Linked DNA regions of Struthio camelus. The protein of the gene in region 3 interacts with the protein of the main gene of each other region in a pairwise test. Links are inferred from orthologs where the notes say so. Each region holds a gene or a part of one and is shown on either strand. Other genes may lie near its edges.

Region 1 (6,912 bases), on a different chromosome or scaffold from region 3:
AATTGCTGCAAGTATGTGCCATGCTGTCAAAGGGAGAAGATGAGGCTGTCACGGCTGATTAAAGCTCACCCTATATGCATGTACTCTGTAGAAGGAAAAGGGTCCCATGTTACATCCCTCCTGCTGTATTAGCCCCACTGAGAAAATTTGACTTTTCCCACTAGTGAGTGCTGGAATCAAAGGAATGCTCTCACACAGAGGAAAACCAAATGAAGGACAAAGGTGATGAGAGAAAAGATCAGCACAGAGCATAACTAGACGCAGCAATATTGATATCTATAAATTATCGTATTATCTTTCCATTCACACTGGTATGCATCCAGATTAATGCCACAGGAGACAGTGGGTTTAGAAAGTGTAATCCAGACTAGAATTTGACTTGAGTGTGTATGCAACACTTTTGAAAAGAAAATTATGACATATGATGTCGTTAGAGGCTGAGCTTTTGCAATGGTGGCCCTGCCTCCTGGTGTGTTCACTGCATACCTTTCTCTGGGAGCTCAGCTGGATAGGGTGTGAGATTTTAAAGGCTGAAATTCAGGTTGAAATCCAAACAGTTCTCATATATGCAGTTTACATATCTTACCTTCGTGTGTCAGCTTCCCAATGAGTTTAGTGGACTTTTTTCTTTTAACAGGAGCAGGAGTCCCTGCTAGGGGCATTCCCACAAAGGGTTCTCTGCTTTGCTCTAAACACACAGAAGGAAATGGAGAATGAAACACTGGAAAGGTCTCTTGCCCCTCTTTTAGTTTCCCTCTACAGTTAAGAGACACAGGATCTTCATTTCACATGCAGATTCTTTTCCATCTCTCTCACATAAAGGAGCTAGTAAACAGTATCATCTCAGACAGAATATCAGCATTAGGCCGTTGTGGGGCTCTGTGGAGACTTCGTGTTAAGGCACAAAATATGGTAACAGATTACAGAAGAAGCATTGCTTCACTACCACATAGCGTTGCCACCCAGAATAGACAGTATAATTGCAGCACTGCAGCCTCCCGGCACCTGTGTATGCCATGATGGTACTATGTTGTCATGTTGTGCTGCAGTGCAGAATGTCAGTTTGAAAAATTCCTCGGTCATGACTTAACATCATTGTAATGCCATTTGGATATCGTTAGGTAGTAATACATATTCTTACATAAAGATGTTGGGTCTGCCCACGAGCTATGTGGGAACATTTTGAATAATGTCCATACTTGGTTTGGATATTTGGATAGTTCTGTTAGAACTGGAATTGCTTCTCAGAAACCTATCAGACTGCAAGTTATGCAAAAAACAAAACCCTATGTCATTCTCTTTTATGACTGTTGATGATATATTACAAAGGGCTGGAGGAAGAAGGCACAGGCCTGTTAGAGTTGTTGGTGCAAGTTGTTTGAAGTCACTTACACCTGCATTTTATGTATTCATCCTATTGCATGTCATTTTGGAGGGAGAAGGAGAGGAAGAGGGAGATTTCTTCTCTTACACTGTTTCCCATCTCTATCCCCAGGTAGGATGAGAGACCTGTACTGCTAAGTTGGGAAAAGTTAGGAGAAATCCCAGCAATTTTACTTCGGGCAGGTTCTCGTAGTCCTTCTTGGGGGTTATCACACATAATGCAAGTCGGGCTGATGTCTTCATTTTTGCACTGTCCTTGCCAAATGACAGTATGTAAGGAGACAGATCCTCACCTAATAAATGACCAAACTTCCATTGGGTTCAGCAATAGCAGAGAGTAACTAACCATCTCTGTCGCTGTGCCTCTTTACACCTTTAGTTGCTCAGAGCTTCAAAACAGATGTTATTAGCTGTGAGTTATTTTTTAAAACTAGCAGGCAAACTGGCTCTAGGACTGTGTACGCTGCCCTTGTTGTGATCAAGACGTTTTTATTTTCCAAATATTCTACAGTTTTCTTCCACCATTGCTCCTTTTAGAACATGATTTTGAGAGATGGTGACAGCTGCTGAAAGCAGCCTGGCCAGATGAAACCAGACCCAATTACATTGGCAGATATTCTCTTGGATAAGACTTTCTTTCTGATTTCCAAGTTTGATTTTTTATTGAGATGCTGCCTATGTGGTTCACATCATAAAAGAGCTCATCCTGGTGTATTCCCAAAGCAAGTGTGAGCAGGTGCAGCCATAAAGCACACGCCATGCATTCTCCTCGAGCAGCCGGACATCTGCTTGGCTATATAAAAGAAGCAGGCCCTGCTTGACAGGAAAAGGGCAATGCTGCCAGGAGACATGGGGGGAAGGAGTTTCAGGGAGTTTATGGCTCATTTGATGGGTCATAAGAGTGGCAGATGGAGGGAAAACGTCTGCGCCCCCAGACATGGACTCCCTGGGGCAGGCAGGGCGGGCTGGCCCAGTTAGGGAGCTGTGCCCCTCCAGCACGCTCATTCCCAAGGAGCAGCGAGGGCGGGTTTGTCCCGCTCTGCTGTCCTTTGCTGCTCCAGCAGGATCAGGGAGCACACGTAATCAGTCTAGCATAAGGAGTGGGGCAGCAGCCTTTCACTATGGATGGGGCTCAGAGCCACGGTTGGACCGCTGTTCGATCTGTCACCCCACAGCAGCGAGGCTGCTGGAGCCTCAGTCCCCTTGCTCCCCACTCTCTCGTGCATAGGACCAGGACCACAATTCCCCTTTTCTCCCATCAGCTCTATCCCTTGGTGTAATTCCTCTGTCTTTTTCTGCTTCAGTCTTTGCAGCAGTCATTTCGTTGGCTTTGCTGCAAACCAAACCAATCTTTACCCTCTTCAGCCCCTGCTCCAAACTGTTTTGCTGCCAGGTCAGCTTACCTTAGGCTTGTAGTGCCAGGCTCAGACCAGCTCACGCGCCTGCCCCAGGGCTCGGCAGCAGGCTGGCAGTGTGTGGGCAGCGTCCTCCCAGCCCACCTTTGGGCGCTGCGGGGAGGCTTGTCCAGCAGCCCCGCTCACCCAGGGTGCCGGGGTGCAGGCAGGCTCTGCCCGGCGCAAAGTGCTGATGTGGAGTGCTGTGAATTTGACTCCTGAAGGCTGCTCGCACAGGCATCCTGCAGTTATTAATAGCTGACAGCCCAGAGAGCAGGGTCTCAGATAGCACCACCACCAGCCCGGAGGAAAGGGGAGAGGAAAAGGTTGCACCTCAGGCCTCCTGCAGTCACCGCCTCCGTTCCCAGGAAGACTGGGCACCCTTTTCTGCATAAGTGCATTGCTCCTTCCCTTCTGTTCCAATCAACTTGCCGTTCCTCTCCCTCCTCCTATTGCACTTCAGTAATACCTCCTCAATCTCCTATTTCTCAGTAATGCCTCAAGAACTCTCTCAGGTCTTGCTCTTTTCTACACCCTCCCTCCGCCTCCTCCTCACTCCATCATTCAACCCAACTTCCTCCAAGCTCTCATATTAATTCCTAAAATGCCAGGGATTCAAAAAATACGTCAGAGAGCACAGAATAAAAATAATCACACCCATGAAACAAGAACTAGTAGGAAAAACACATTTACAGAGTTATAGGAAGTAGCTGTGTAATGTGGGTAAGAAACCCAACAGAATCAAGCAGCAAGGAGACTCATTTCCTGATTCATGGCAGAAATAGGGTTGATTGACTGCATTTAGTGTAGCTTTGTGCGTGTAAATGATTCCTCTACTTTAGCCACTGCTCATTCTGAAGCGACGCTACCTGTTTTTCTCCCCGTACCAAACTGGGTTCTGCTTCTAGGAGGAAGGAAAGTTAACTCATTTTACTGAAATACTCTAAGATGCACAAACTTTTAAGCTTCTACATACAGCAGGAATCCTACAGAGAATCATGTCCTTTCCTATTTCACATCAGAGCCCAACCAAGCTGTCTACTGAGTAAACATAGAGTCTAGTGGGAAAAAAAACAAAGCTGTGATTGTAGCAGAGAATCATCTGCACAGAGGCTTGCAAGTACACTTGATATAAAGGATCATCGGGAAACAGTCACTTTCCCTTTCTCGTATACTTTGCACAGTTGTGTTTGCCTGCACCAGCAGAGTATAAAACTTCCCAGTCTGACTGGTGCGTTGCAATCACAAGGCATTAACCCCCCCAGTGCTGTTTGGATAGTCCTTTATAAGAGTGCTATAACCTGTAGCTGTGGATAGGAGGTGGAGAGCTATGGATAATAATCATCTTTTATCCCTGTGACTTGGAGCTAGGGAATGTATGGCAATCTCCTGGCCTCAAGTTTCCTGTTTCCTTCTTGCTTCCATCCACATGGTCACTGCATATACATTACATTGTGCCTATGGCATAGCCCTTATTCTCCCCTCTTCCTACCACTGTAGCAATTTGCTGGAAGCTGGTAATCTGGGAGTAGCCCCATGGAGCTGTGCCAGTGTAAAACAGGTGTGGGGGATGGCACAACTGAACTGTAAATACCTACTCTCCGCGGTGGGCACCATCACAGAGCCTCACGCCTGGTGAGGGCATTTACATCTGCACAAAACTGGTGGGTGTCAAATACCATCGCAGCTGATCATCTGTCCGCACTTCACACGCACTCTGCGCAAGTGCAGGTGGTCACAGAAGAATAAGCTCTCAGTGTTGGCCAAATCCTCCTCACTGCAGGCCAAGGAATATTTTTTCACCACATTTATTTCTCTTGGGGTGATTGAGGACCATGCTGGGTATTTGCTCAAGGTGACCAGTGCCTGCTTTGGAAATCCAGTGGTGCTCTTTGGGATGCTGTTCATACCCCGTGATGCTCTCCTAATGAGGTACTCCCCTTGTATGCCAAGTCAAGGTCTTGAGTGAGAGGCGGACAGGGTGGTGAGGAACTGGAAGCAAGAGCCAGGCTGAGCAGGGAGAGGAAAGAAGAAACTGGGAGTAGAGACCACAGGGCAAAGTCTTTATCCAGAGCTCAGGAACAGGAGATTGAGGCGGAAAAGATCGAGCGAGGAGACTTTTATTGCTTAGATGCTGATGGATAGCATTTAGGTCCCTAGGCCAGTCATTGGATTCCTCAGAAACTGCAGTAGCAAAATACAAGGTCTAGGCCAGTCCGTTGTCCTGGCTTTTCAGTGTTGTTGTTGTGCCTGTGGCTGTTGTCAGGCTCTGATCCCTGGAGAAACTGTGGCCAGCTCCAATTTGAAAGGTGATATGTAGCTCTCATTCTGTGCTATGTGAAATCCCATTCTGTCCTTGCAACCCTGATCCTCGAGGTTATTTCTATCTGCATGTGCATATATCCATACACAGGGTGAGCTGCATTGATGGTCTGGATGAAGGGACAGAGTGCACCCTCAGCAAGTTTGCTGATGATACTAAACTGGGAGGAGTGGCTGATACACCCAAGGGCTGTGCTGCCATGCAGAGAGACCTGGGCAGGCTGGAGAGTTGGGCGGAGAGGAACCTCATGAAGTTCAACAAAGGCAAGTGCAGAGTCTTGCACCTAGGGAGGAATAACCCTGTGCACCAGGACAGGCTGGGGGCTGACCTGCTGGAAAGCAGCTCTGCAGAGAAGGACCTGGGTGTCCTGGTGAGACTTTCACCTCCTTCTCTATCTTCAAACAAAATGATGTCTCCATTTTCAGTTGCCTGTTTAAGAACTAAATCCTGCTCCTTTCTCCTCTCTATGGGCGGTTTCTCCTGAGAGATAGAAAAGTGCAGTTCAATAATCTAGAAATGTCGCTTGTGTGTCTAGCAGAGAAAGACTGATTTCATTTATAAATATCCTGCCACAATGCCAGGCTTAGCAGCTCAATGGCTTTTACCACTGGGAATATTGTTCCCATTTGATGTCTCTGCCTTCTGTAGTAGGATGAAATCAGCATGGAAAAGAGGTAATGGAGGGCTCTTACTATTATCGCACCCACTCATGCTACTCAGGGTTTGAAATCATTACAAGCCTGGCTTGTTGAGCTGCCCTTTCTTTTTTTTTTTTTTTTCCTTCCTGGACTCTAGTGAGATTTTAAGGGCTAAATTCAATCCATGCTTGAGTACATGGAGTTCCCACTTAGGTCAGCAAGGATAGTACATGTGCTGCCTGCAGGACATTTCAGCACTTCAGGGAGGAGGTTTAATCATACAAGGAACTCTATCTCACTGTGCCAACCTTCCTCTTTCCAAATATACCCTTCACTTAAATGGCCTTAGGAACAGCCTGCACAAAGCTTTGCTTTCTCTGACCTGTGTTTTCACAATTTTTTTCCTGACTCTCAGGGCACCTAATTTCAATTCAAAATATACAATTTCAAATAATTGATGTTTCCAAAATCATTTTAAGAGCAGCAGATGAGATCTGTCTTGTCACACAGTGCTGGGTGGACATAAATAGTAGCTAAGACAGGGAGTCCTCAGTATGGGTGTTTCCTGAGCACTCTTTGATCACGTGAAAATCAGGCAAACAGAGTCAGTCTGGCAAATAATTTCATTTTCCAAAGGTACAGAGTTAAACCTTGACCCTGTTCCCTGTTTTCCCTGGAGCCCAGGACTAGCACAAGCTGAAAGTATTCACAGGCTGCAGATCTCCACACCAATTGGATCTGTTCTGAAAAAAAGTTGCAAAACTCCTGCTTTGGCTTTTTTCCCCCTCAGGAAGAGAGTGGGGAGGGGGAGAAAAAAGGAGGGGAAGATGCTAGAAGGGCTTTATTATTTTGAAATAGTTCATATATGTTTTAATTTCTTCCACCTTTACGAAGACATGAAGAAGATTTGTCAGTAATTTGTTGTAGCGACACAAGGGGAGAAGTAGACAGTTAACACCAGGCTCTCCCCTGCTGCTAAGGGCGCTTAATGCACAGTGAGATGTAGGGCTTGGGCAGAAACGTGTAGGATTTGATCACAGAGCTGGGGGGGGGCAGATGTTGAAACAGCTGGTGTGCCTCAGGCATGTTCCTCACTGGACGGCCTCTTTGCCTGCATGCCCCACACTCCACCACCCAGGAATCCCCTCCAAGCTGCTGCAAACCTCCCACTGCC
Region 2 (7,445 bases), about 1.0 Mb from region 3:
TGCGGGCCTTGTGGAGGAGCGAGAGGAGAGCGGCACCGCCGCCTCCAGCCTCACCAGTGACCAGCACCCGGTGAGTGAGGGCAGCCCCCGGCGCACAGCCCCTCGCTGGCCCCTGCGGGGACACCTGCGTCTGGGGCAGAGCCACCCATCCCAAAGCACAGGATCCCCACTCACGTCCCAGCCTGGCCGAGCTCAATCCCAAAAGGCGAGAGCCGCTGAGAAGCACCTGGGAGGAGCGCTTGTGCAAAGGCTGCCTTCCAAGGAGGTCCTCCAAACCTCCTGTTGGAGCAGGGGCTGCGTCCAGCAGGCTGCGAGCACCAGCAAGATGGCTCCAGCAGCCCTGCGTTGCCTCCTCCCTCCCCCTCCCAGACCCACCAGCCTCCCTCAAGGTCCCTTCCCCTCCGCAGCTGATCTCCTGCCTCTCTGAGCCGTTCTCTTTTCCACCCGTGTCCCCAAAGGTCCAGGAGAGCCTCGACGCAGAGGTCCCCCCTGCTCAGGCACCTGGGGTGCCTTCTGGCGAAGAAGATGGTGAGACGGGTAAGCCCCGAGTTGCCTGGGTGCACCGGGAGCAAGGCCGACAGGACGGGGGCACGGAGGGGTGCTGGGCTGAGCCGAGCAGCTGGCAGCAAAGGGCATCTCCTCCTGGAGATCCCCGGAGAGCTGGGGGCAGCTGGGGCAGACCTGTAAGGAGGTCTCTGGAGGCTGCCGTCGAGGCAGCCCATGGGCACACGGGTCAGGAACGGGAAGCCCTGTGGAGCCTCAGCAAGGCCGTGCTGCCCTGCTGCTGGTGTTTTCCTGCCTGCTCCAGCCCTTCGGGAACCTCTGCAGCACTCGGAGAGCGTAGGGTAGGCAACGGCTGGGCTTGCCAGCATCACCGCTCAGTCGCTCTCTCCTCTTCTCCCGTCTTCCGGCTTGTCCCCATGTCCCAGAACCTCCTGCAGCAGAAGAGCAGCCCACGGAGCCAAGCAGCGATGAGGTTATAGATGCGGCCGTGAGATACATCTCCAAATACGTGAAGGACCTGGCCGCCTACATGGACCAAGCCATCTCTCGGGGTAGGCAGCCGAGGGTGGAGGGTGAGGTCTTGGGCCCAGCGGGACCGGGCCAGGCAACAGGGGGCTCTCAGGGAGGAAAGCGGGGCTGGCACGAGCAGGGGTCAAAGTCTGCGCCCCTCCTCCTGTCCTGGAGGGGTCTGTCAGAGGGAACCCACTCAGCAGGGAAGTCCTTGAGGGCGTGGAGGCCTGTTTTCACCTTCTGCTTGTGTCTGCCAGAAATGGAGCTTGCCAAAGGGCTGCAATCATTAGCCAGTGCCTTCAAGAAGACTAGCACTCACGAAGAGGTAAGCTGGCGGAGACGGGCAGCCCCAAAGCTCTCCCCACAACCCCCAGCGCCCTGCTTCCTGGGCTCCCGCGCCAGCTGCCTGACAGGGCCTGGGCGCTGCCACCTTCTGCACACCTCCTGCCTGCCTCCCAGCACTCTCCTTGCAGCCTGCCACTACCCGGTCCCAGCCAGGCCTGGGCTTTGCCGGTAGCGGCCAGGCAAGCCGAGCCACTCGCTCTTCTCTCACCTTGAAGGAAGCACCTGCCTGCTCCCTGCCTGGTCGTGTTCGCTCTCAGCCACGTGTGTTTTCTCCTTTCTCAGCCCTCGGTGCCAACCCCGGAGACTCCTGCGCCATCTCTCGAAGATGATGTAGCTGAAGGGGAAGGCCATCACCCCGATGTGGAGCAGCAAAAGCAATGCCTTCAGGTAGGAGAGCTGCCCAGGACAGACTCTTGCCCCCTTCCCACACAGGGATGCTCGTGCACGTGCACGTGCACGTGCACGTGCAGGCACAGTCCTCACCCACACCACTGGGTGCAGAGTGGCTCCGGTCAGCCGGAAGGAAATGCTGGCCATCTCCCTGCTCCCTGGCAGCCTGCTGCTCCAGCCACGCTCAGCCTTGGCTCTGCCTCTCTCCCTGCTTCAGGCCCTTGGGGAAACTCTCCTCGTTAACCAGCAGCTGCTAGAGAAGATGGAGCAGCAGTGGCAGCAGGCTGAAAGGCAGCTGGTAAGTAACACGGAGTCTCCACGTTCGCTGGCCTGCTGCTCCCCGAGCCAGCCCCGAGGCTCACCGACACGCCAATGGCCTGGCAGATGCATCTCCCCGCTGTTCTCCTGGGGCACGGGAGCAGCGCGCCGGCAGCAAAGCAAAGAGCCTTCACCAACCCGGTCCCAGCGGAGGTGCTCTGCAGGCCAAAGCTCAGAGCTCTTCCCCTCCTCTTCATCCTTGCTCTTCCCCGTGGATCCTCACTCGTCTTCTTTGCTAGCAAAAGGAAAAGGCTGAGCTCTTCTGCCTGCCGTGCTGCGAGGACACGGAGCACAAGGAGAAGGAAGAGGCAGCCGAAGACGAGCAGCTGAGTGCCTGCAGCACCCCCAGCTCTGGCCTGCGCTGCTGGAGGATGGAGATGAGCAGACGGTGAGAGCAGAGCTGCTCTGGACGGCAGCCGCGCACGGAGCCTGCTCGGGGCTGCCCTTAGCCTGCGTCCAGATGCGCTGCCCCAGCCCAGCCAGGCCTGCCTCTCTCCCCAGGACACGTGCCCGGAGCGCTCTGCCGGCGCCCTCAAGCACCCGCCGCCCCTCTTGCTGCCCCGGCACGGCCTTACTTAGCCCACGCCCCTCTGGCGATGGAGCTCACCACTGGTGCTCCGCTGCCATGGAGGAGAGCCGGGGGCACAGCCGGGGCCTTTGTGCTGCAGCTCTGCTGGGAGGGAGGGCTGGCTTGTCCTGGCAGTGAGTGCCCAGGGCAGATCCCCAGCTGATCGCAACGCAGAGCGCTGGGCAGCAGCGCAGGCAGTTGGCTCCGTGGGCAGAGAGCTCGTCCTTGTGCCCTCTGAGCTCTTTCCCTTGCCTCCTCTCCCTCCTCGCAGCTTACAGAGCACACGGCAGCTCCTGCAGCCTGCAGCCTGGATGAGGGTTCTTGCCAGGCTGCCAGCAGTAACAGCCTAAGGAAGGGCATCACCCTCACGACGTGCCACACACGCAACCAAGAGGTATTCTTCGGGGGAGTCCCGGGCAGGGACATAAGTTGGGAGCTGGCCCGCAGGGGGGAACAGAGCGAAGCGAAGCCCTGCGAGCAGGGCGACCCCTCGCACTCTACCGGCCTGCGGGTGCCACCTTCTCCCACACCTCTGGTCCAGCATAACCTCAGCTGTGAGCCCTCTGGTCGGCAGTAGGGGACTGTGGCATGAAGAAGTTGTGTCCCTGGGCTGTCAAGAGGCCTCTTTTAGGCACCAAGCCAAGCACTCACATGCGCAGAGCTGGCCCTACAATGGTCGCCAGCAAGAACTGGAGTCCCAGCGAAAGCTGCTAACGTGTGCTTTGGGGCAGGTCTTCCCCAGCCCTCACGTGCACCCAGGAAGACCCCTGCTGCTGCTGCTGCTGCTGCTGCTGCTGCTGCTTTGGTCTTCATGGTGCTCTCTCTCTTGTGTTCTCTTTCTCCTCAAAACTGGAGCAAGGTGAGCAGGGCAGAGCTCGAGATCGAGCAGGAGTCGAGATCGCCAGGCAAGTTCTGCAGAGAAAGAAGCAGCAATCAGACTCTGATGCTTCTGCCCATGCAGACACAACCGCCATCCCGGCGACCATCATCCCTGCCCGCCCGCTGGTGCCTGCACACCAAGACTAACGTGACATCTCGACTCCCCTGGACCCCGTTAGACTCCCAGGTCACCAAGCCTGGCTGGGAACGCTCTGTGCCACGCTGGGGACCAGATGACGACCCCATTTGTGTCCTCTCTCCCCTTTCCCTCTCCACTGCTGCTGCTGGAGGCCCTGCCCGTACCTGGGGACGGAGGCAGTCTGGGCAGCTGCCAGCAGAGAGCAGCTTTCCTGGAAGCGAGGAACTATCGGGCTCCTCTGCGGCCTTCACGCCGCTGCGAGCCGAGGCCGAGAGCCCACGGGGCTGCCGGGGAGGAGGCCGGGGCAGCCCGAAGCCGCGGGCTCGCCTGGGGGCGCCAGGCCTCCCCGTCCTCAGGCGGAAAGAAGGGGACAGAGCCGTCCTCGCGGGCACCTGCCGCTCGCCCAAGTCGCCTGCCCAGCACCCCCCTTGCGCTAAGGGCAATAAACCGATGCCGTTGAGTTGTCGTGTGCCGCGATGATGCGTCGAGAGCGGGGCGCTGGGCGACGGCAGCGCGGGCGGGCCGCAGCCGGGCCGCAGAGCCACCGGCGCCGGCAGGAGCTGGGGCAGCACCCCGGGGTGGGAGTGGGTGGGTGGGTGGAGGGAAGGAAGTAAAGAAGGAAGGAAGCTGCTACCACCAGCCCACCCCGAGGCCCGGTACCCCCCGCAGCCCCCTCCCCGGGGCGGCGATGCCACCGGCCGCCCGCAGGGGGCAGCAGGGCGCCGCGCCCAGGCCTAGGCCGCGGCGGCGCCTTTAAGGCAGGCGGCGGCCGGAAGTGCTGGCGGCCGAGGCCAGCGCGGCGACTGCGCATGCTCAGTGCTGCCCGGCCCGCTTCGCCCTCCCCCTCCCCCTTCTCTCAGCCCCCGGACTCGGCCGCTCGGCGACGGTAAGGGCCGGCCGGCGCCGCGCTACGGGAGCCGGGAGGGGCCAGGCGGCGCGGCGGCGCGCGGGCGGGGCGGGGCGGGGCGGGCAGGGGGGCCCGGCCCGGCCCGCGAGGGGAGGGGGCGCCCCAGCGCGCGCCGCCGTACGTGCCGCCGCCGCGAGGGCGGACGTCGCGCGCCGCGGGGGGGGGGCCGAGCCGCTGCGTCCGCCCGCGGCGGGGGGGGAGGGGAGGGGAGGCCCCGCCCCTCCCCCGGGCAGCCCCGCCCTTCGGCGCCGGCCGGGGGGGGGGGCCGCGCGCCGGGGGGGGGCCCGCTCCTTCCCCCCCGCCGTGACCCTTGACCTCGGGGGCTGCCCGCGGGGGGGCGCGGCGCCCTTTGCCCCCGCCGCGCTGACCTCTGACCCCATCGCCTTCCTCCCCGCCGAGGGGCCGGCAGCGGCGGCCTGGCCGGGGGGCCGGCGACCCCCGATTGGGGGACCTGGCGTGGGGGGCCCCGGGCAGAGGAGACCGGCGCCTGCAGCCCCCCCCCGGCCCCGGCGCGGCCCCCCCCGCGCCGAAACGCCGAGCGAGCGCCGCCTTCTGCTGTGACTGGAGCGGCCGTGGCCGGGGGCCGCGGCCCAGGGTCCCTCCCGCCGGCCGGCGGCTCGCGGGGAGCTGCGCTGCGGCCGCTGTGAAGCCCGCAGCCCTGCCTCGCCGCGGGGCCGCCCGGCGGCGCGCCCCAGCCCGGAGCGAGGGCGCCGGGCAAGCGGCTCCTGTCGTCTCCTGCAGCCGGCGGGGCAGGGGCGGTCCCGGGAGCCGGCCCCCGGCCCCCCTTGCTTTTGCCAGAACGCCTTCCTGGTGCCAGACGGGAGCGTCCCGGGGGCCCGAGCGCGCGCTGGCCTCCGCCGGGCCTTTCCACGCCTCCGCCGCAACGAGCCGTGCCTCGCGCTTCAGCTCGGCCGGAGCCGCGCTCCAGTTGAGGCCGCGGCGGGAGCTCGGCCGCTGAGAAACCCTGCCTGCGCCCAGCCTCGAACGCAGCCGCCGCGGCCCCGTCGGCCCTGCGGAGAGGGACAATTAACAGTGCGGAGGCGCGTGCGGAGGCCGGTGCAGATGTCAGGAGGCTCTGAGCAAAAGGCGTCTCCCAGCACGCAGGCTTGGAGGCGCAGAGCATTGGGCATCGCGTAGAGGCAGATGAGGAACAAACTGGGGAGGGGTTCGAAACCCAAGAGGGTAATCTGGAACGGCGCTTGGAACGTAGCACTGAATTATTGTGGAGTGATGTGTTTCTCCTCTTCCCACACTCTTCATTCCCCCGCTCACAAAATCACCTTGGCGCTTTCCTGCGTAGCGGTAGGAAGCGGTCCCCCACAGCGCAGCAAATATCCCTGCGGGAAAACACTGCAAGGACCTTCTGCGTCGCTGCGTCTCGCTCCACCTCTGGCACGAGGAATACACACTTCTCTGCAGCTTGTGCGCAGCAGAAGGGCTCTGTCCCCGGCCCCTTGGCGGTGCTGAAAGATGACAGCATCACGCTGCCGCCTGGAAGGGTTCCCGCCTAGGGGCAGAAGCTCTCGCTTAGAAACCTGCCTCCCTGCGCTGTTGTGGCTCTTGCCAAAACCTAGCGTGTGGCTTTGCTTGGCCGGCACCGAGTCTGCAGGGCTGGGCTGGTAAGCTGCAGAGCCCCCCAAAAGACGCTGTGTTATCGGCCGTTAAAGTTATTAGAGGGATGGCATTGTGGGCAAGTGTGTGTGTCATGTTTGTATCATCGGATCAGATGTTCCCAGCTATCGTGATCGACAGGCGAGGAGAAATCCTCTCTGGAGAGAACGGGGGTATTGACAGATACCTGCTGTCTCTCTTTCGTGGTGAATTTACAATAATGCCTGGTTCCGTCTCGCAAGTCTGAGAGCTGCTCCGTGAAGCCCGCAGTGCCTGCGAGTCCGGAGCCGCTGCGTTTGCCGCGGCGGGGCTCTCGGGGACGATGCTTACAAAGCGTCCCTGTTCCCCGCCGGCGCATAGGCAGCGGTGGTCTGGTTCTTCCCGCGGCACAGCTCTGCCTCTGCTTGTCCGCTGCAGCACCGTGGTACCCAGCGACCGGCCTTCATGTGAGAGATGGCGAATGCCGAAGTGAGCGTCCCTGTGGGTGATGTGGTGGTCGTACCAAGTGAGGGAAACGAAGGGGAGAACCCGGAGGATACCAAAACCCAAGTGATCTTACAGCTCCAGCCGGTGCAGCAAGGGTGAGTGGTACACGTACTGCTGTGTCTGGGAGATGCCTGGCGGAGTGGGGGGGAGGCTGCATCTGGCAGCGTTGTGTGATGTGGGGACCGAGTGGTGCTGTGTTTTGCAGCAGGGTGAGGTTTTTGTCTGTTTTGATTTGCGCACGATAAAGGGAGAGAGAAAAATAAAACTGCCGGAAACCTCCCCAACGAGAACTTAAAATAGCTGTTGTGCGTCGCTGGCGTGGGGCTTCCGAGGACTGGGATCCTTCTGTGGAGATGTGTCCCCGCGATACCGTATCTGCATTTTGCAACGTACACAGCCACCCGCCAGCCAACGTGGCCGTGGATGCGGGGAAGCGGCTAGACAGGCGCTGGGCGGAAGCGGGCCAAGGTGTGCGGTCAGCGGTGCTGCCCCGGCCACGCGTTCCCCCGGGCTTCCTTTTGCTGCTCCCTCTCCGTCCTCAGGGTGGCTTTTTGCAATATTGCAGCTGTTTCACGTGGTGATCTGTGCCACGCACAGGGCGACAGCTTGTGATTGTGCATTCATATCTGCATATGCTTCTGTGCCTGCTTTTGTAGATCCTGATTGAAAACACAATGAAGCAGGGAGGTTAGAGGGAATTGTTTTGTGATGCTCTGAACTGGCAGCTGTTACGGAAGGTGGCTGCCACCAGGCATTTCATCTTATATCTGTATCAATCAGCATGAAAA
Region 3 (7,889 bases):
CCTCGGGTGCCCTGGGTCGGGGGCACCGGGGCCACGGGCCAGGGATGCTGCGCAACAGCCTAATTTTAGACCCGTGGTGGTGTAATGTAGTATTATCGCAGACCCGAGACGAACGCTCGCCCTCTGCTCCTTGCGGCGAACGCGTGACTTGGCCAGGGGAGCCCCAGGCGCCGCGGGGGCAGCTGAAACACGGCCCCCCCTCCTCCCCGGCGGCTTTTAGCCAATTTGCCCCTTCCGCGAGCAGCGTGACGGTGGCTGGAGACCCGGCCAGGCGAACTGAAGCCACCTGCTCGTGCCCCTTTAGGACAGCCGACCCCACCGAACCGAAACCCGGGGGATTTCACCCCAAAGCCAGGGGTGCAACGAGCTCGCCGAGCCACGGCCGCCCGGGGGGGCCCGCGGGGCGCTCCGCTGCCCGGGCGCCTTCCCTGCTGCGCAAACTCCGATGCCGGAGATGTTTGTCGTCTGACATCTGTCACCGTCCCCATGGCTGGCGAATAATATTTACAGTGATTCAGTGGATTTGGGAGCGGGTTCCCGTCGGCTCCCGTTTTGGGAGCAGCCGTTGCGCCGGGGCTTGCTCTCACCCTCTTCTTTCTCCTTTATAAATAGATTTAGCCCCTTCCTGCCTCGATAAGCCGTGACCTCTCGCTGTCCTTCCCCTTCCCCCTCCGAGCCGCCGGCACATTTGCACCCCAGCTGGGTCCCTTCCCCTGAGCAACATGAGCCTTTGCTTTTTCCAGCCCCTGAGCAAGATCCTCCCCCTGAAACCGTCCCTCCGTCCCTTATCAGCCGGCAATTCCCAGCTCTCGCAAGCGGAGCCGGTATTTGTCCCGCGCGCCCCTTATCTCCGCCTGAAACCTCTATCTGCAAAACGCCAGGCGTTAAGGACAGGACGGGTCCCGCTGTCGTTCGCCGCCGAAGGACCCGCTGCCCTCCGCGGCGGCACGAAAGCCCTGGGAGATCAGCCCTCCCCGAGGGACAGCGCTCGCGACTTTACTGCTCTTGGTGTCGGAACGAAAACGTTCCAGCTGCGCTATCGGGAGGAAGAGACCGGGGATGGCAAGCGGCAAGCAAGCGGAAAGGACCCACGGTTTCCAGCAAAGGTGCAATCTCCTAAAGGACAAACGGCTCTCGGGCTCACCTGCAGCACTCCTGCTTGTAGATGTCGATGATGTTCTCCACCAGCAGGTTCCTCTGCAGCCCGTAGACGCCGTGGCGGTCCAGGAGCACCTCGTGGCGGCAGGACGGGCACCGGAAACGGCCCCCCGAGATGACGCTGCCCCGACTCTGCCAGTACGGGTTGGCGGCCTGCAAGGAGAGCCGTGTCAGGGTCCCCCGGCCGGGGACACCGGGGGGTCCCGTGGCACCTGTGAGCATCCTCGCGGCGTCCTCCCCCGGCCCGCTGAGCCGTCCCTACGCTCGGCGCCCCGGTGGGGACCTCTCATGGCCTGGCCACCTCCACCACCAACCTCTTCGTGCCCGAAACCAGCCTCCCGCGCTGCCCGCGACGGAAAGCTCCGCTGTGCAGGGGACAAACCATGAGCCCGAGGGCTTCTCGGGGTCAGCCGAGTGCTGGCTGAGGACCGGCCCCGGCCGCCGGCGGCTTTGGGGACGCCTTGCCACGGCGCTCACCTGGAAGACGTCGTTGGCGCACTTGCGGCAGAGGTTGTGCTGGCAGGGCAGGATCACCACGGGCTTGGTGAACATCTCCAGGCAGATGGGGCAGATGAGCTGCTTCTCCAGGTTCTCCATGGGGCTGCCGTCCCGGATGATGCCGGGCTGGTAATCCATGGGGCCGGCCAAGGGCGGCCAGAAGCGTCGCTGCTCCTCTGCCGGCGCCGACGGGGCGACGGGCGGCGCTGAGCTCCCGCAGCTCGGCTGCAGCCACCCGCCTTTGCCTGCCGCTCCGGCCGCGCGGCTATTTATAATTCGCGCTGCGGTCACGCGGAGGGACAATATTGGCAGCGGGTCGAGTTTCCCACCCATCACATGGGAGTGAGCAATCGCCGGGCCGAGCGGGAGGCCGGGCTGTAAACAGGGCTCGGGACGGCCTGTCCGCACCCGCGCTGCCGGGGGGCTTAGCGTCTCCCGGGACAAAGAAACCGGAGCCGGGGCCGTCAGCGCAGTCACGCTTCGCCCAGGTGCAAGCGGCCCAAGGGCCGACGAGGCCGGACACGCCGCCGGCACGGCCCCCGGGGCGCCGGGCTGCTTCGGCCTCGCGCTCCTCATCCCGCCCGGCGCCACGTGGGCACCTCGCTTTGGGGCTTCGCGGGTGCCCGAGCCCGTCCGGCCCGTCCCCGGCAGCGTCGTGCCCCCGGCCGAGCCCCGTTCCCGCGGCCGCCGACCTGCTTCGTCCAGTTTATTCAAGCAGAAAAATCGCTCTCGTCCCCCCCCCCCGCCCCAAATTCGGGCAGCGCTGAGCTCTGGCCGACCGGATGCGACCGCGGGGCTGCGGGGCGGGAGGGCGATGACTCGGGGCTGGGAAAGCCCCCGGCCGCATAGCAGCGACTCATCCGGGCACCAAAAAAGCCCCCACGACCCAGGCCCGGCACGTGGGAGGCTGAAGCATCCCGAACGCGCCCGGGGCGCCCGGCCACCACGAGAACAGGCTGCGGCGTGCGGGTTTCCCCCGGGCGACGGGCATCAGCCAGCGGCTGGGGCTTTTCACACCCGCTCTCTGCCGGGACGGGACCCAGGAGCGATAAGAAAAGCCGCTCCGGCGGGTCCCCATCCCGGCACCGAGCGACGCTGCTCGTTCCAGTCGTGCCTGGCCGAGACGGGGACAAAAGCAGCCGGTGCCGGGGCGCACCTTCGCCCTCGTCCCGCGGCCCCGGCTAACCCCGCGCCTCCCTTGCGAAACCCGAGCCAGGAAAGGCTCCGAGGCGAGCAGCGGGGCGGCGGGCCGAGGCCGGGCCCCTTCCGCGAGAGCTGCTGCAGGCGACGGGGGTTAAGAAAAAAATAAAATCAAGCCGCCGGCTCACGTGGGCCGGGGTGGCATCTGCGAGCCGCGGCGATAAACAGGTTGTGATGCCCAGCTCCCGCGGCGGTCCGCAGGGAGACCTGTAAATGTTGGCAGCCGAGAGGGGACAGCGGGTTAATTATAGCGCGGTGGGCGCGGGTGGCGCTGGCACCCGGCCTCGCACGGCGGCCGCTGGCCGGACCCAGCCGCGTTTGGGGCCGGTGGCAGCGAGGGGGGTGGCGTGCCATTAATTAACTAATTGCTTCTGGACTCGGTTAAGGGGATTCGCGGCACCGGCTGGGTTGGTTGTACCCTAATCGGCTTCAAACCCGCCGCTGGCCTGCAAGGGGCTCGTCGGCTCCTAATTGGCTTGGGGGGGATCAGGGAAGATGGCGACGGGCTAATCACCGCCAGGCTGATTAGTAATTAATATGGGGGTGAAAGCGGGGGACGGTGCACGGCTGGCGGGAAGAGCTGCCTCCACGGCACCGCGGGTTTGGGGCCGGCGCGGAGCCCCGCTCCAAGGGGAACCTCTGCCCCTCGGCCGGCCCCGGCCCTTTTCCCAAACGGATCCGCGACGGCCACGCGCCCTCTGGTGCCGCGGGAACGTGGCTCCCTGCAGGCCAGGGTGGCCAGAGCCCACGTCCTCGATTTGGAGCTGGGGTGAAGCAAATCTGCCGCTCCAGCGTGAGTTTGCAGCCCCTCGAACTTGCAACCCCCTCCCCTTTTTAAGTTGCAACCTCCCCGCCCCGAGGCTGCTCCCCCGGCCAGGCCGACGCTGCGAGGGGCCGGAGGTGCGAGGCCGCAGCAGACCGTGCAGCGCGTTTGCACCCAGTCTGATGGTGCAGGAAAGGAGGATGTTGCCCGTGTCGCCGGAGGGACTCGTGCGCAGCGAGGGGCCGAGGCTGCAGGGTGCTGCGGGCCTGCCGCCATGCGAAGGGTCACGCCGCGGCCTCCCGTTCTCCGTGCAGCGCCGGCACTGCTGCTGTACGGAAAAGCACCACCAGGCCTGGCGCTCCGGAGGAACGGAGGAGAGGAAGGGACCTGGCACGACGCCAGAGCGCACCAAAAGGCGCGAGGCTCCCTGGCGAGGGAAGGCTCCATATTTTTCTCTTAAGCGAAAAAAAAAAAAAAAAGCCGATAAAACAGAATAAAATAAATAAGAGCAGCGCTGACAGCCGCCGAGCGGCGGGGCGAACGGAGGAGCGCACGGGAAAAAAAAGCAGCCGCGCGGGAAGGAGCGCACGTGGCAGGCGGCGCGCGCGTTCCCGCCCCGCCGCGAGGGGGCGCGCGCGCGCGCTGCCGCCGCCGGCCAATCAGGAGGTGGGGCGGTGGGGGGGGCGGAACGCGGCGGTGGGGGGGCGGGGCGACGTCTGGGGGGCGTGGCGACGTCGGGGGGCGGGGCGACGGCGGCCGGAGGGGGGAGGGGGTGTGTCGGCGGCGGCGCGGCGGGGGGAGCCCTATAATGGCGGCCGGGCGGCGGGAGCGCGGCGGCTGCGGCGGCGGTGCTGAGGTAACGCGGTGCCCGGGGCGGAGGGAGCGCGGCGCTGGCGGCTCCGGGGCGTCACAGTGAGGGACTGAAGCTCCGAGCTTGGGCCCGGCTCCGCCTCCGGCGCTGCCCTGAGCGGGGGCCCCGGCACCTGCTGCGCGGCCCGGCCGGGCCCTCGGGGTGAGCGCGGCCGCGGGGAGCCCGCGGGGCCTGGCGGGGGGGGAGCGGTGTGGAAAACGGGCGAAACCGCCTTAATTCCTTCCCCGGAGTGACCTCCCCTGGGCGCTGGTGGGGTCCCTGCGTGGCTGCTGCTTGTGGGGCCTCCCTGGTGGTGCTGGGTGGAGGGGAAAGGTGACTTGTTTTATTCTGTAATTGTTATTTTTGACAAGGCAGCCGGGGAGCAGAGACGCTTCATCTGTGTGGTGCCTGCCTGGGCCCGGCAGCGGGGCCAGGCCTGGTGCTTGCTGCCCCTGTCCTGCTGCTGGCCTGATGGGTTGGCGTGAGCAGGCATTGCTTCCCCTTGCCTTGCCCTGTGACCCCCCCCCCCCCCCAGTGACATTCCCGGCCTGGGCCAGGCTGCTGTGGGAGTGTGGCCCTCCTGGTGAGGGTGGGTGGCTGCCCTGGCAGTGTGATGGAGCCCCCCTGGTGACAGCGTGCACCTACCTGGCCAGAGACGGGGCCTGTCTCCCGCTCATGCTGGACCTGGTGCGGTAGTGTCCGAGTAGCACCGTCATTTCCTTAGATTTGGCCGTCCTTGAGGTTATGGATCCTGCTTTCCTCCCCTGCTTGGGAGGTGTTACTGGCCCATTGGGTCTTCCCCTTCAGACCATCATCTGTTCCTCCTAGCCTTGTTACAGGCGCAGGTGCGATGCCTCCTGCGACCTGCATCTCGCACAGTGAATTCCTTGCTCACGCCAGTTGCAGTTCAGGTGTTACAGTAAATGTTCACTGCAAAACTCTCCTGAAAGGGTCTAAACATCTGCATCGATGGTGTCCTGAGGCTGGTAATACCTGTGTCTGTCTTCCTACTGGGAAAACTAGAAGGCTCCCTCTGACAAGGGGCTGTTTCGATGTGGTCCTTAGTGCCTGGTTACTGACAGAAGGAGAGTTACACCTATCACTAGCAATCTTTAAAAAAAAAAAAAAATTTTAGTTCTCATCTACTAATTGTGATCTTTCTTTCTTTCTTACATTTAGTTCTGTCTGACCGGTGATGTTTGGCTAGCCAAACCTTTTTTTTTCCCTGTCTGTAGTCAGTGTCTCATTCTGGTTTGTTTATATGAAGGTGATGTTGTGTTTTGGTTTGTAAACTTGCAGAGAAGTGTGTAGAGAGGCTCATAAGTTTGTGGCACTGTTTTTTTGTTTGTTTGTCTCTCTTGTTTTGTTTATAGAACAATATATTAGTTTTTGTTGAAATCCTTGCCCTGTTCAGCAAAACTGAAGTTGAGATACTGAGTAAAAGCTTCTGTAATCAGTTGCCCTCTTTAACTCTTTGGAACCTTAAACTGATTATTCAGAGGCGCCTGGGTAAAAAAAGCATAGTAACAATTGGAGGAAAAAAAAAAAGTAGGTGTTCTGAAGCATCCTCTTCTTCTAGTATCCAGAAAAGATTTTTGTAGTTAAATTATAATAGAAAATGTTTACCTATCCTGTCACCTCCTTAAAAGGAAGTTTCAAATTAAATCTGCTATTGCCTAACCATAACTTTCAACTAAACCTCTTCTCTGATATCCCAGGCATGGGTTGAGCATGATACTGTGCTATTACATGCACAGATAGAGCAAAAGATACTGAGAGAAAACAGCAAGAGAATATGTGATAATCCCATCTCAAGTACAAGTCTAGGTCTGAATTGCTGCATTCTTGAAAACTGGCCTGATTTGCAATCTTAGTAGTCTGACTGAAATGATAGAACTTCTCTTAACTGCTCCTTAGCAACAGGTATGGGTTTACAAAGTAGGTTCTAGGATATTCTAGCACTCGAATGTGGTGTTATGAGATGTTACGTTCAGGGGCAGTGCCCTAATAATTGAAGGCCTACTGTCGCTACACCAAGTCACATAGGGAAAACGCAAATTAGTAGTTGTTCACAAGTTTTAGTTCTATGGGTTTTTTCCCCTTCCCCCTTCCCCAGAACCTTTGATCTTGAAGATGGTGAGTAGCCAGCCTAAGTACGATCTAATACGGGAGGTTGGCCGTGGCAGTTATGGTGTGGTGTACGAAGCAGTCGTCAGGAAGACCTCCGCACGGGTTGCGGTGAAAAAGATTCGCTGCCATGCTCCAGAGAACGTGGAACTAGCTCTGCGTGAGTTCTGGGCGCTTAGCAGTATCAAGAGCCAACATCCCAACGTCATTCATCTGGAGGAGTGCATCTTGCAGAAAGATGGTATGGTGCAGAAGATGTCCCATGGCTCCAGTTCCTCCCTTTATTTACAGGTACATGAAGCTGAGGTAATGGGGTGGGAGTAACAACATATACCTGTAGCTGGGAGGGAAGGAGGTGGGTAGCTAAGAATTTTTTTTTTTTAAAGATATGCTTAGTTAAGAGAGACTATATGCACTGCTGACATCCAAAAATTATTTTAGATCTTTAGAAGAACATACTTATCAAACTATCACCTGTATCTTCTATTTGGAAGCTGTGCCACTCCAGATTTTTTTTAATGCAAATCTGCTTTGATAATTTGGGGAAAGGGCACAGATAACGCACAACGGAGATACAGGCTGTTGTGAACAGGTATTTATGGACGTCTTGAGACGATGCTCTGAAAGATTCCTTAATCTGAGGTGTCCTTGGAAGAAGAAGTAACTGTCTCGATTCAGGAAACCAGCACTTAAAACTTGTTCAGAAGTAATAATAAGGAATTGCTAGAGTACAGTGAGCTGTTTTGATTTCTTTTCTGAGTAAATAATCTCCTCAAAGAGGAGTAAAGGTCTAGTATATGATAAATAACGGAACAGAGGAATAAATATCACTTTCCCCAATGTGGCTATTGAAGGTGTCTTCTTAAGTTGCCTTCAAGTTAGAAGACATACTATAGATCAATAAACAAGTAGCTTTGAAGAACCCTGAAAGATCATCCAGTTCCTTCCCTTGTCAAGAAGCTGGCTCAACTCTAAAACATTCCCTCACAGAAGCTTGCCTATCTGGTTTTAAAAGTCAATAGCTTACTAAATGTTTATTGTATTATCTCTAGTCAGTTTTTATCATTTTAGCTTTTGTTGTTGTTGTTCTTGCATGTCTAACATAGGACTTTTTTCTTTTCTTTTTTTAATCGAATGTTCATGTGATAACACTGCATGGTTATCTAGATCCCACTGTACTGGAAGCTGTACAAGCCTGAGAGAGCATTCTTGCCTTTGTAAACTGTCTGTAACTCAGTAGTTGTTGCTGACCTGCTTTCATGCAGGGATTAGAGTAAAATAGTACTGGTCGGC
Region 4 (7,145 bases), on a different chromosome or scaffold from region 3:
AGGGACTTTGGGGGGGTCCTGAGGTTTTGGGGAGTCTCAGGGGGTTTGGGGGGGTCCCAGGGGCTCTGGGGGGGGTCCTGGGGTTTCGGGGGGGTCCCAGGGGCTCTGGGGGGTCTGGGGATTTTGGGGGGGTCCTGGGGTTTCAGGGGGTCCCAGGGGGTCTGGGGGGTCCCAGGGACTTTGGGGGGGTCCTGGGGTTTCGGGGGGTCCCGGGGGGTCTGGGGGGGGTCGGGGGGGTCCCATCCAACTGACCTTCCTCCTCCTCTTCCTCGGGCTGCTCCTCCTCGGGCTGCTCCTCCTCTGGGGGGCGCGGGGGGGGGGGTCAGAGTTAGGGACCCCCCCGACCCCCCCGGCCGTTAATGTTAATTAACACCCCAGATCTCATTAGTGACCCCCCCCGATACCCTCATTAACCATTAACAAACCGCAGCCAAGGCCCCGCTTCGTTAGCAGAGAGGTTGATTAACACCCGTGGTTAATGAGCCACTTGGGGGGGGGTTAATTAAGGCAGAGTTAGTTAAGAGGAGTTTATTAAGGGGGTTTAATTATGGGGGGGGTAATGGGGTCCCCAGGCTCAGCCCCCCCCCCCAGTTCGTTAGGGGGCGGCCGACGAGCCGGGGCCTTCGTTAGCTAACGAGCTGCGGGGGGGGGGTCACTCACCTTCGGGCTGCTCCCTGGGGGGGGAAGGAGAGGGGTGAGGGGGGGCACCAGTATGGGGGGATGAAACCAGTATGGGGGGACCCAGACCAGTAAGGGGGGGGCACCAGTATGGTGGGGGGCCCAGACCAGTATGGGGGGAGGAAACCAGTATGGGGGGGCAGACCAGTATGTGGGGCACCAGTATGGTGGGGGGCCCAGACCAGTATGGGGGGGGCACCAGTATGGTGGGGGGCCCAGACCAGTATGGGGGGGGGCCCAGACCAGTATGGGGGGGGGGACACCAGTGGAGGGGGCCCAGACCAGTATGGGGAGGTCCTGATCCCAGTACGGCGGCACTGGGGACCCTGATCCCAGTATGGGGGGAGCCCAGATCAATACAGGGACGGGCAGACCAGTATGGGGGGGGGGGCTAGACCAGTCTAGGGGACACTGGGGGGGGCCTGGTCCCAGTAAGGGAAGCTCCATCCCAGTACGAGGGTCCCAGTTCCAGTATGGGGGGGGGCCCATCCCAGTACAGGGGCAATGGGGAGTACTGGGGGGACTCTGGCCCCAGTTTGGGACTGGGGCGGGGGCCCAGGCGTCCGGGGGGCCCAGGCGTCCGGGGTCACTCACTCCTCGTACTCCTCCTCGGCCTCAGACATGGCTGCGGTTGGCGGCGCCTGGGCGGATTTTGGGGGGGGTCAGGAGAGCGGGGGGGCGACCCCCGTCCCCTATAGCCCCCATCTCCCCTATAGCCCTCATCTCCCCCTATAGCCCCCCATTAGCCCCTATAGCCCCGTCTGCCCTGTAGCTCTCCATGTTCCCCTATAGCTGCATCTTCCCCCATAGCTCCCATCACCCCCTATAGCCCCCATTAGCCCCTATAGCCCCCAATTAGCCCCATAGCCCCCATCACCCCCTATAGCCCCCATTAGCCCCTATAGCCCTTCATCACCCCCTATAACGCTCATTACTGCCCATACCCTCGTCTCCCTTATAGCTGCATCTCCCCTATAGCCCGTCATCCTCTATAACCCCCCGTTACACCCCCTATAGCCCCCATCTCCCCTATAGCCCCCCGAGACCCCCCATAGCCCCCAGCGCCCCCCCGGCACCGGTGTCTCCCTCGTCCGGTCGCTCTCGGGGCTCTGCCGGCGTCGCCGCCCCCCCACCCCGGGGTCCCTTTATGGGGGCTCGTCCCGCCCCCGCGTGACGCCCCCCCCCCGGGCCCCCCGGGACCCCCTGGCCCAACAACGGCCCGAGCTCATTGTTCCCAAAATGCCTCCGAAATGTCACCGACACCCGACACCCCGCAGCTGTCGGGGCTAAACATAGCTGGGGGGCCCGGACGCCTGGGCCCCAGGGGACAGCGGGGCCCCCGGACGCCTGGGCCCCAGGGGACAGCGGGGCCCCCGGACGCCTGGGTCCCCCCTAGGGCAGCAGGGCGGAGCGGAGGCAGCCCGGACGCCTGGGCCCCGGGGGGCGGCGGGGCCCCCGGACGCCTGGGTCCCCCCGGGGCAGCAGGGCAGAGCGGAGGCAGCCCGGACGCCTGGGCCCCAGGGGACAGCGGGGCCCCCGGACGCCTGGGTCCCCCCGGGGCAGCAGAGCCCGCGGGGCGGAGCGGAGGCAGCCCGGACGCCTGGGCCCCAGGGGACAGCGGGGCCCCCGGACGCCTGGGTCCCCCCGGGGCAGCAGGGCGGAGCGGAGGCAGCCCGGACGCCTGGGCCCCGGGGGACAGCGGGGCCCCCGGACGCCTGGGTCCCCCCGGGGCAGCAGGGCGGAGCGGAGGCAGCCCGGACGCCTGGGCCCCGGGGGACAGCGGGGCCCCCGGACGCCTGGGTCCCCCCGGGGCAGCAGGGCGGAGCGGAGGCAGCCCGGACGCCTGGGCCCCGGGGGACAGCGGGGCCCCCGGACGCCTGGGTCCCCCCAGGGCAGCAGAGCCCGCGGGGCGGAGCGGAGGCAGCCCGGACGCCTGGGCCCCAGGGGACAGCGGGGCCCCCGGACGCCTGGGTCCCCCCGGGGCAGCAGGGCGGAGCGGAGGCAGCCCGGACGCCTGGGCCCCAGGGGACAGCGGGGCCCCCGGACGCCTGGGTCCCCCCGGGGCAGCAGGGCGGAGCGGAGGCAGCCCGGACGCCTGGGCCCCGGGGGACAGCGGGGCCCCCGGACGCCTGGGTCCCCCCGGGGCAGCAGGGTGGAGCGGAGGCAGCCCGGACGCCTGGGCCCCAGGGGACAGCGGGGCCCCCGGACGCCTGGGCCCGCTCCCCATCTTTGGAAGGCCACAGGGGGAGAACAAAGGCCGGGGGGGGGCCCGGATGCCTGGGTCCTATTCCTGTCCTTTGATGTCACCTCTGTCCCCGCCACCTGTCGGGGACATTCCTGCCCTTTGTTCCAGGATGGCTGCGGGGGCGGGGGGGGGCCCGGACGCCTGGGTCCCCCCGCACCCGCCTGCGGGGCCCAGGCAGAAGCTGGTCTCCAGACTCCGTTTTCTTGCTCTTTTGCCCCAAAACACCGCACTGAAGCGGACCCAGGTGTCCGGTGGTGCGGGGGGGGGGGGCAGCAACCCCGTCTGCCCCCCCGGACGAGGACGCAGCTGCCCCGACCGCAGACCAGAAGCGGCTCGTTCCTATTTTTGTCTTTATTTCAATTTAAAAAAGTGATTTTGCTCCAAAACCTCATGCCCCCCCCCAGCCCCCAGTGTAGCACCAACCCCCCCCCAGCTCTGCCCCACCGGGGGGGGGAAGAGGGAGGAATCACCCCCCCCGCCCCAAGGAGGGTCCCGACCCTCCCTCCCGGGGGGGCCCAGGAGTCCGGCGCTGTCGGGGGCCCCCCCATGAGGTAGGTGTGTGACGCGCCCCCCCCACCCCGCTCCGTACAAACCCCCCCCCCCGAAAGGTAGAAAACAACAGCAGAAAGGGGTGCCCCCCCCCGGGGGGGGCTCAGGCGGAGTCGTGGGCGGCCACGTCCAGGGCGATGGCGCCGTGGCTGACGACCAGGCGGAAGCGGCGGGCGGCCCCGAAGGCCGCCGGGCGCTTGGGGGGCGGCGGGGGGGGGAGCGGGGCCGGCGCGGCGCCCCCCCCGGCCCCCCCCCGGCCCCCCAGCGGGCCCAGGCGCACGTGGGCGAAGAGGGCGAGCTTGGGGTCGGCGGGGGGGCGGGGGGCGGCGGGGGGGGGCAGCCGGGCCAGGCGCACGCGGGGCTCCCGGCGCAGGCGGCAGCGGCCCCGGCAGCCGGCGCAGTCGTGCAGGGCGACGCGGGGCTGCGGCGGCGCGGGGGGGCCGGGGGGGGCCGGGCCGCGCGGGCGGCGGCGGCGGCGGCGGCAGCAGCAGCGCCGGGCCGGACCCCCTCCCCGGCCCCCCCGCGCCCGCTGCAGGCGCCCGTCCGTCTCCCGCAGCTGGTACTTGGGGGGCGGCGGCGGCGGCGGCTGCTGCGCCGGCTCCTTCCTCCGCAGCCGGAACGCGCCCTCGCCCTTCCTGCGGGAGAGAGGCGCCTCAGAGCGGGGCCCAGGCGGCCGGGGGGCCCAGGCGTCCGGGGGGCCCTACTGCACCCCGCACTGAACCCGGGGACCCAGGCGTCCGGGGGGCCCAGGCGTCCGGGGGGCCCTACTGCTCCCCGCACTGAACCCGGGGACCCAGGCGTTCGGGGGTCCCAGGTGTCCGGGGGGCCCAGGCGTCCGGGGGGCCCTACTGCACCCCGCACTGAACCCGGGGACCCAGGCGTTCGGGGGTCCCAGGTGTCCGGGGGGCCCAGGCGGCCGGGGGGCCCTACTGCTCCCCGCACTGAACCCGGGGGCCCAGGCGGCCGGGGGGCCCAGGCGTCCGGGGGACCCTACTGCACCCCGCACTGAACCCGGGGACCCAGGCGTTCGGGGGGCCCAGGCGTCCGGGGGGCCCTACTGCACCCCGCACTGAACCCGGGGACCCAGGCGTTCGGGGGACCCAGGTGTCCGGGGGGCCCAGGCGGCCGGGGGACCCTACTGCTCCCCGCACTGAACCTGGGGACCCAGGCGTTCGGGGGGCCCAGGCGTCCGGGGGGCCCTACTGCACCCCGCACTGAACCCGGGGACCCAGGCGGCCGGGGGACCCAGGCAGCCGGGGGGCCCAGGCAGCCGGGGCACCCTACTGCTCCCTGCACTGAACCTGGGGACCCAGGTGTTCGGGGGGGGCCCAGGAGTCCTGGGGACCCTACTGCACCCCACCCTGAACCCGAAGACCCAGGTGTCCCGGGGACCCAGGCGTCCGGGGGGGGCCCAGGCGTCCGGGGGGGGCCCTACTGCACCCCGCACTGAACCCGGGGACCCAGGCGGCCGGGGGACCCAGGCGGCCGGGGGGCCCTACTGCTCCCCGCACTGAACCTGGGGACCCAGGCGTTCAGGGGGGGGCCCAGGCGTCCGGGGGGGCCCTACTGCACCCCGCACTGAACCCGGGAACCCAGGCGTCCGGGGGGGCCCAGGCGTCCGGGGGGGCCCTACTGCACCCCGCACTGAACCCGGGAACCCAGGCATCCGGGGGGGCCCAGGCGTCCGGGGGGCCCTACTGCACCCCACGCTGAACCCCCCCGAGGTGCCCCTGGGGACCCTGGCAGCTGGGGACCCACAGCACCCTGGACAGCGCCTGGGGGGGAGGGGGGAACCACAGCAGGCCCCGCCCCTCGGGCCCCGCCCCAGCAGGCCCCGCCCCTCGGGCCCCGCCCCAGCAGGCCCCGCCCACCTCTCGCAGGTGCGGCACTCGCAGAGCTCGTTGTTCTCCCCGAAGAAGCTCTCGCCGTAGAAGCAGGTGATCTCGTCCTGCGGCTCGATGTCCCGCAGCACCTTCACGCAGGCCGCGTTCCCCTCCGTGGGCACGAACTGGGCGCACGTCAGCCGCGGGGGGCCCCGGCGTCCGGGCACCCCCCGGCCCTCCCCCCCGCCGCCGCCGCCCCGAGGGGCCCCGGCGTCCGGGCGCCCTTACCTTGCAGTTGGGCCGGCAGTCTGCGGAGAGCGGAGAAGTCGCCGTCAGCAGCGGCTCGCGGCGCCCGCCGGCCCCGGAGCCCCAGGCACGGGGGGGGGTCGGGGCGTCCCGGGGGGGGTCCCGGGGGTGGTCGGGGGCCCCGGGGGGTGGTCAGGGATCCAGTTGGGGGTCCCGAGGACAAGCAGGGGTCTGGTTAGGGGTCCGGGAGGGTCAGGAGAGGGTTGGGGGCCCCCAGGTTTGGCCATCGGACCGGTTGGGGTCCCAGGAGCGATCAGGGCTCTGGTCGGGGTCCTGGGGAGGAGTCGGGGGGCAGCCAGGGGCCCCAGGCAGCAACGGGGGGCTCCTGGGGGGCCATTGGGGGTGTCCCAGGTGGCTGTTGGGGGCCTAGGGGGTGGTTAGGGGTCTCGCTGGGGGCCCTGGGTGGTCTGCTGGGGGGTCGTCAGGGGCTCTGGGGACAGTTGGGGGGCTGTTGGGGGGTCCTGGGGGTAATGGGGGGGTCTGCTGGGGGCCCTGAGGGGCTGTTGGGGAGCCTGGTGAAAGCTGGGGGGGGCTGCTGGGGGTCCTAGGGGATGGCTGGGGGTCACGCAAGGGACCCTGGAGGGGCCATTGGGGGTCCCAGGGGCAGCTGGGGGGCTGTTGGGAAGTGGCCGGGGGTCCTGGGGGGGGCCCTGGGGGGCTGTTAGGGGTCCCACCGGGGGGCCCTGGGGGGGGCTGTTGGGGTCCCAGGGGGCCTGAGAACAGCTGGGAGGCTGCTGGGGGTCCCTGGGAGGCTGCTGGGGGTGGCCAGGGGTCCTGTCAGGGGCCTTGGGGGGGCTGTTGGGGGGTCCCAGGGGGCCCTGGGGACAGCTGTGGGTGGCCGGGGGTCCCGGGGGGCTGTTGGGGGTCCCAGGGGGCCCTGGGGACAGCTGGGAGGCTGCTGGGGGTCCCAGGGGGGCTGTTGGGGGTTCCGGGGACAGCTGGGGGGTGGCCGGGGGTCCCGGGGGGGCTGTTGGGGGTCCCGGGAACAGCTGGGGGGTGGCTGGGGGTCTGGGGGGGCCCTGGGGGGTGGCCGGGGGTCCCAGGGGGGGCTGTTGGGGGTCCCAGGGGCAGCTGGGAGGTGGCCGGGGGTCCCAGGGGGGCCCTGGGGGGCTGTTGGGGGTCCCAGGGGCAGCTGGGAGGTGGCCGGGGGTCCTGGGGGGGCTGTTGGGGGTCCCGGGGGCAGCTGGGGGGTGGCCGGGGGTCCCAGGGGGGCCCTGGGGGGGGCTGTTGGGGGTCCCAGGAGCAGCTGGGGGGTGGCCGGGGGTCCCGGGGGGGCTGTTGGGGGTCCCGGGGGCAGCTGGGGGGTGGCCGGGGGTCCGGGGGGGGCCCTGGGAGGTGGCCGGGGGTCCCGGGGGGGGCCCTGGGGGGTGGCCGGGGGTCCCGGGGGTCCCAGGGGTGGCCCTGGGGGGTGGCCGGGGGTCCCGGGGGGGCTGTTGGGGGTCCCGGGGACAGCTGGGGGGTGGCCGGGGGTCCGGGGGGGGCCCTGGGGGGTGGCTGGGGGTCCCGGGGGGGGCTGTTGGGGGTCCCGGGGGGGCCCTGGGGGG

What was found.
Region 1: the proteins of TRIM63 (region 3) and MYOZ1 interact in a two-hybrid assay, tested with the Homo sapiens proteins (2 studies listed by BioGRID and IntAct). The link is inferred for Struthio camelus from reciprocal best matches to the Homo sapiens genes TRIM63 and MYOZ1.
Region 2: the proteins of TRIM63 (region 3) and GMEB1 interact in a two-hybrid assay, tested with the Homo sapiens proteins (2 studies listed by BioGRID and IntAct). The link is inferred for Struthio camelus from reciprocal best matches to the Homo sapiens genes TRIM63 and GMEB1.
Region 4: the proteins of TRIM63 (region 3) and TNNT1 interact in a two-hybrid assay, tested with the Homo sapiens proteins (2 studies listed by BioGRID and IntAct). The link is inferred for Struthio camelus from reciprocal best matches to the Homo sapiens genes TRIM63 and TNNT1.

What each region holds. Positions count from the first base shown.
Region 1 is NC_090948.1:24,694,171-24,701,082, forward strand, and holds the start of MYOZ1 (myozenin-1), read right to left. Parts: upstream 3,005-6,912; 5' UTR 2,787-3,004; intron 689-2,786; 5' UTR 663-688; coding exon 587-662; intron 1-586. UniProt on the Homo sapiens protein: Myozenins may serve as intracellular binding proteins involved in linking Z-disk proteins such as alpha-actinin, gamma-filamin, TCAP/telethonin, LDB3/ZASP and localizing calcineurin signaling to the sarcomere.
Region 2 is NC_090964.1:6,168,090-6,175,534, forward strand, and holds the start of GMEB1 (glucocorticoid modulatory element-binding protein 1), read left to right. Parts: upstream 1-4,428; 5' UTR 4,429-4,539; intron 4,540-5,323; exon of another isoform or gene 5,324-6,179; intron 6,180-6,563; 5' UTR 6,564-6,624; coding exon 6,625-6,752; intron 6,753-7,445. Other genes in the region: uncharacterized protein, read left to right, coding at 1,034-1,339, 1,642-1,746, 1,967-2,323. UniProt on the Homo sapiens protein: Trans-acting factor that binds to glucocorticoid modulatory elements (GME) present in the TAT (tyrosine aminotransferase) promoter and increases sensitivity to low concentrations of glucocorticoids. Also binds to the transferrin receptor promoter.
Region 3 is NC_090964.1:7,165,870-7,173,758, reverse strand, and holds the start of TRIM63 (E3 ubiquitin-protein ligase TRIM63), read right to left. Parts: upstream 3,002-7,889; 5' UTR 2,233-3,001; coding exon 1,636-2,232; intron 1,312-1,635; coding exon 1,145-1,311; intron 1-1,144. Other genes in the region: serine/threonine-protein kinase PDIK1L, read left to right, coding at 6,603-6,887. UniProt on the Homo sapiens protein: E3 ubiquitin ligase. Mediates the ubiquitination and subsequent proteasomal degradation of CKM, GMEB1 and HIBADH.
Region 4 is NW_027182594.1:268,155-275,299, forward strand, and holds the start of TNNT1 (troponin T, slow skeletal muscle), read right to left. Parts: upstream 3,014-7,145; coding exon 2,986-3,013; intron 1,882-2,985; coding exon 1,755-1,881; intron 1,320-1,754; coding exon 1,273-1,319; intron 301-1,272; coding exon 253-300; intron 1-252. Other genes in the region: histone-lysine N-methyltransferase KMT5C, read right to left, coding at 3,576-4,107, 5,344-5,480, 5,584-5,603. UniProt on the Homo sapiens protein: Troponin T is the tropomyosin-binding subunit of troponin, the thin filament regulatory complex which confers calcium-sensitivity to striated muscle actomyosin ATPase activity.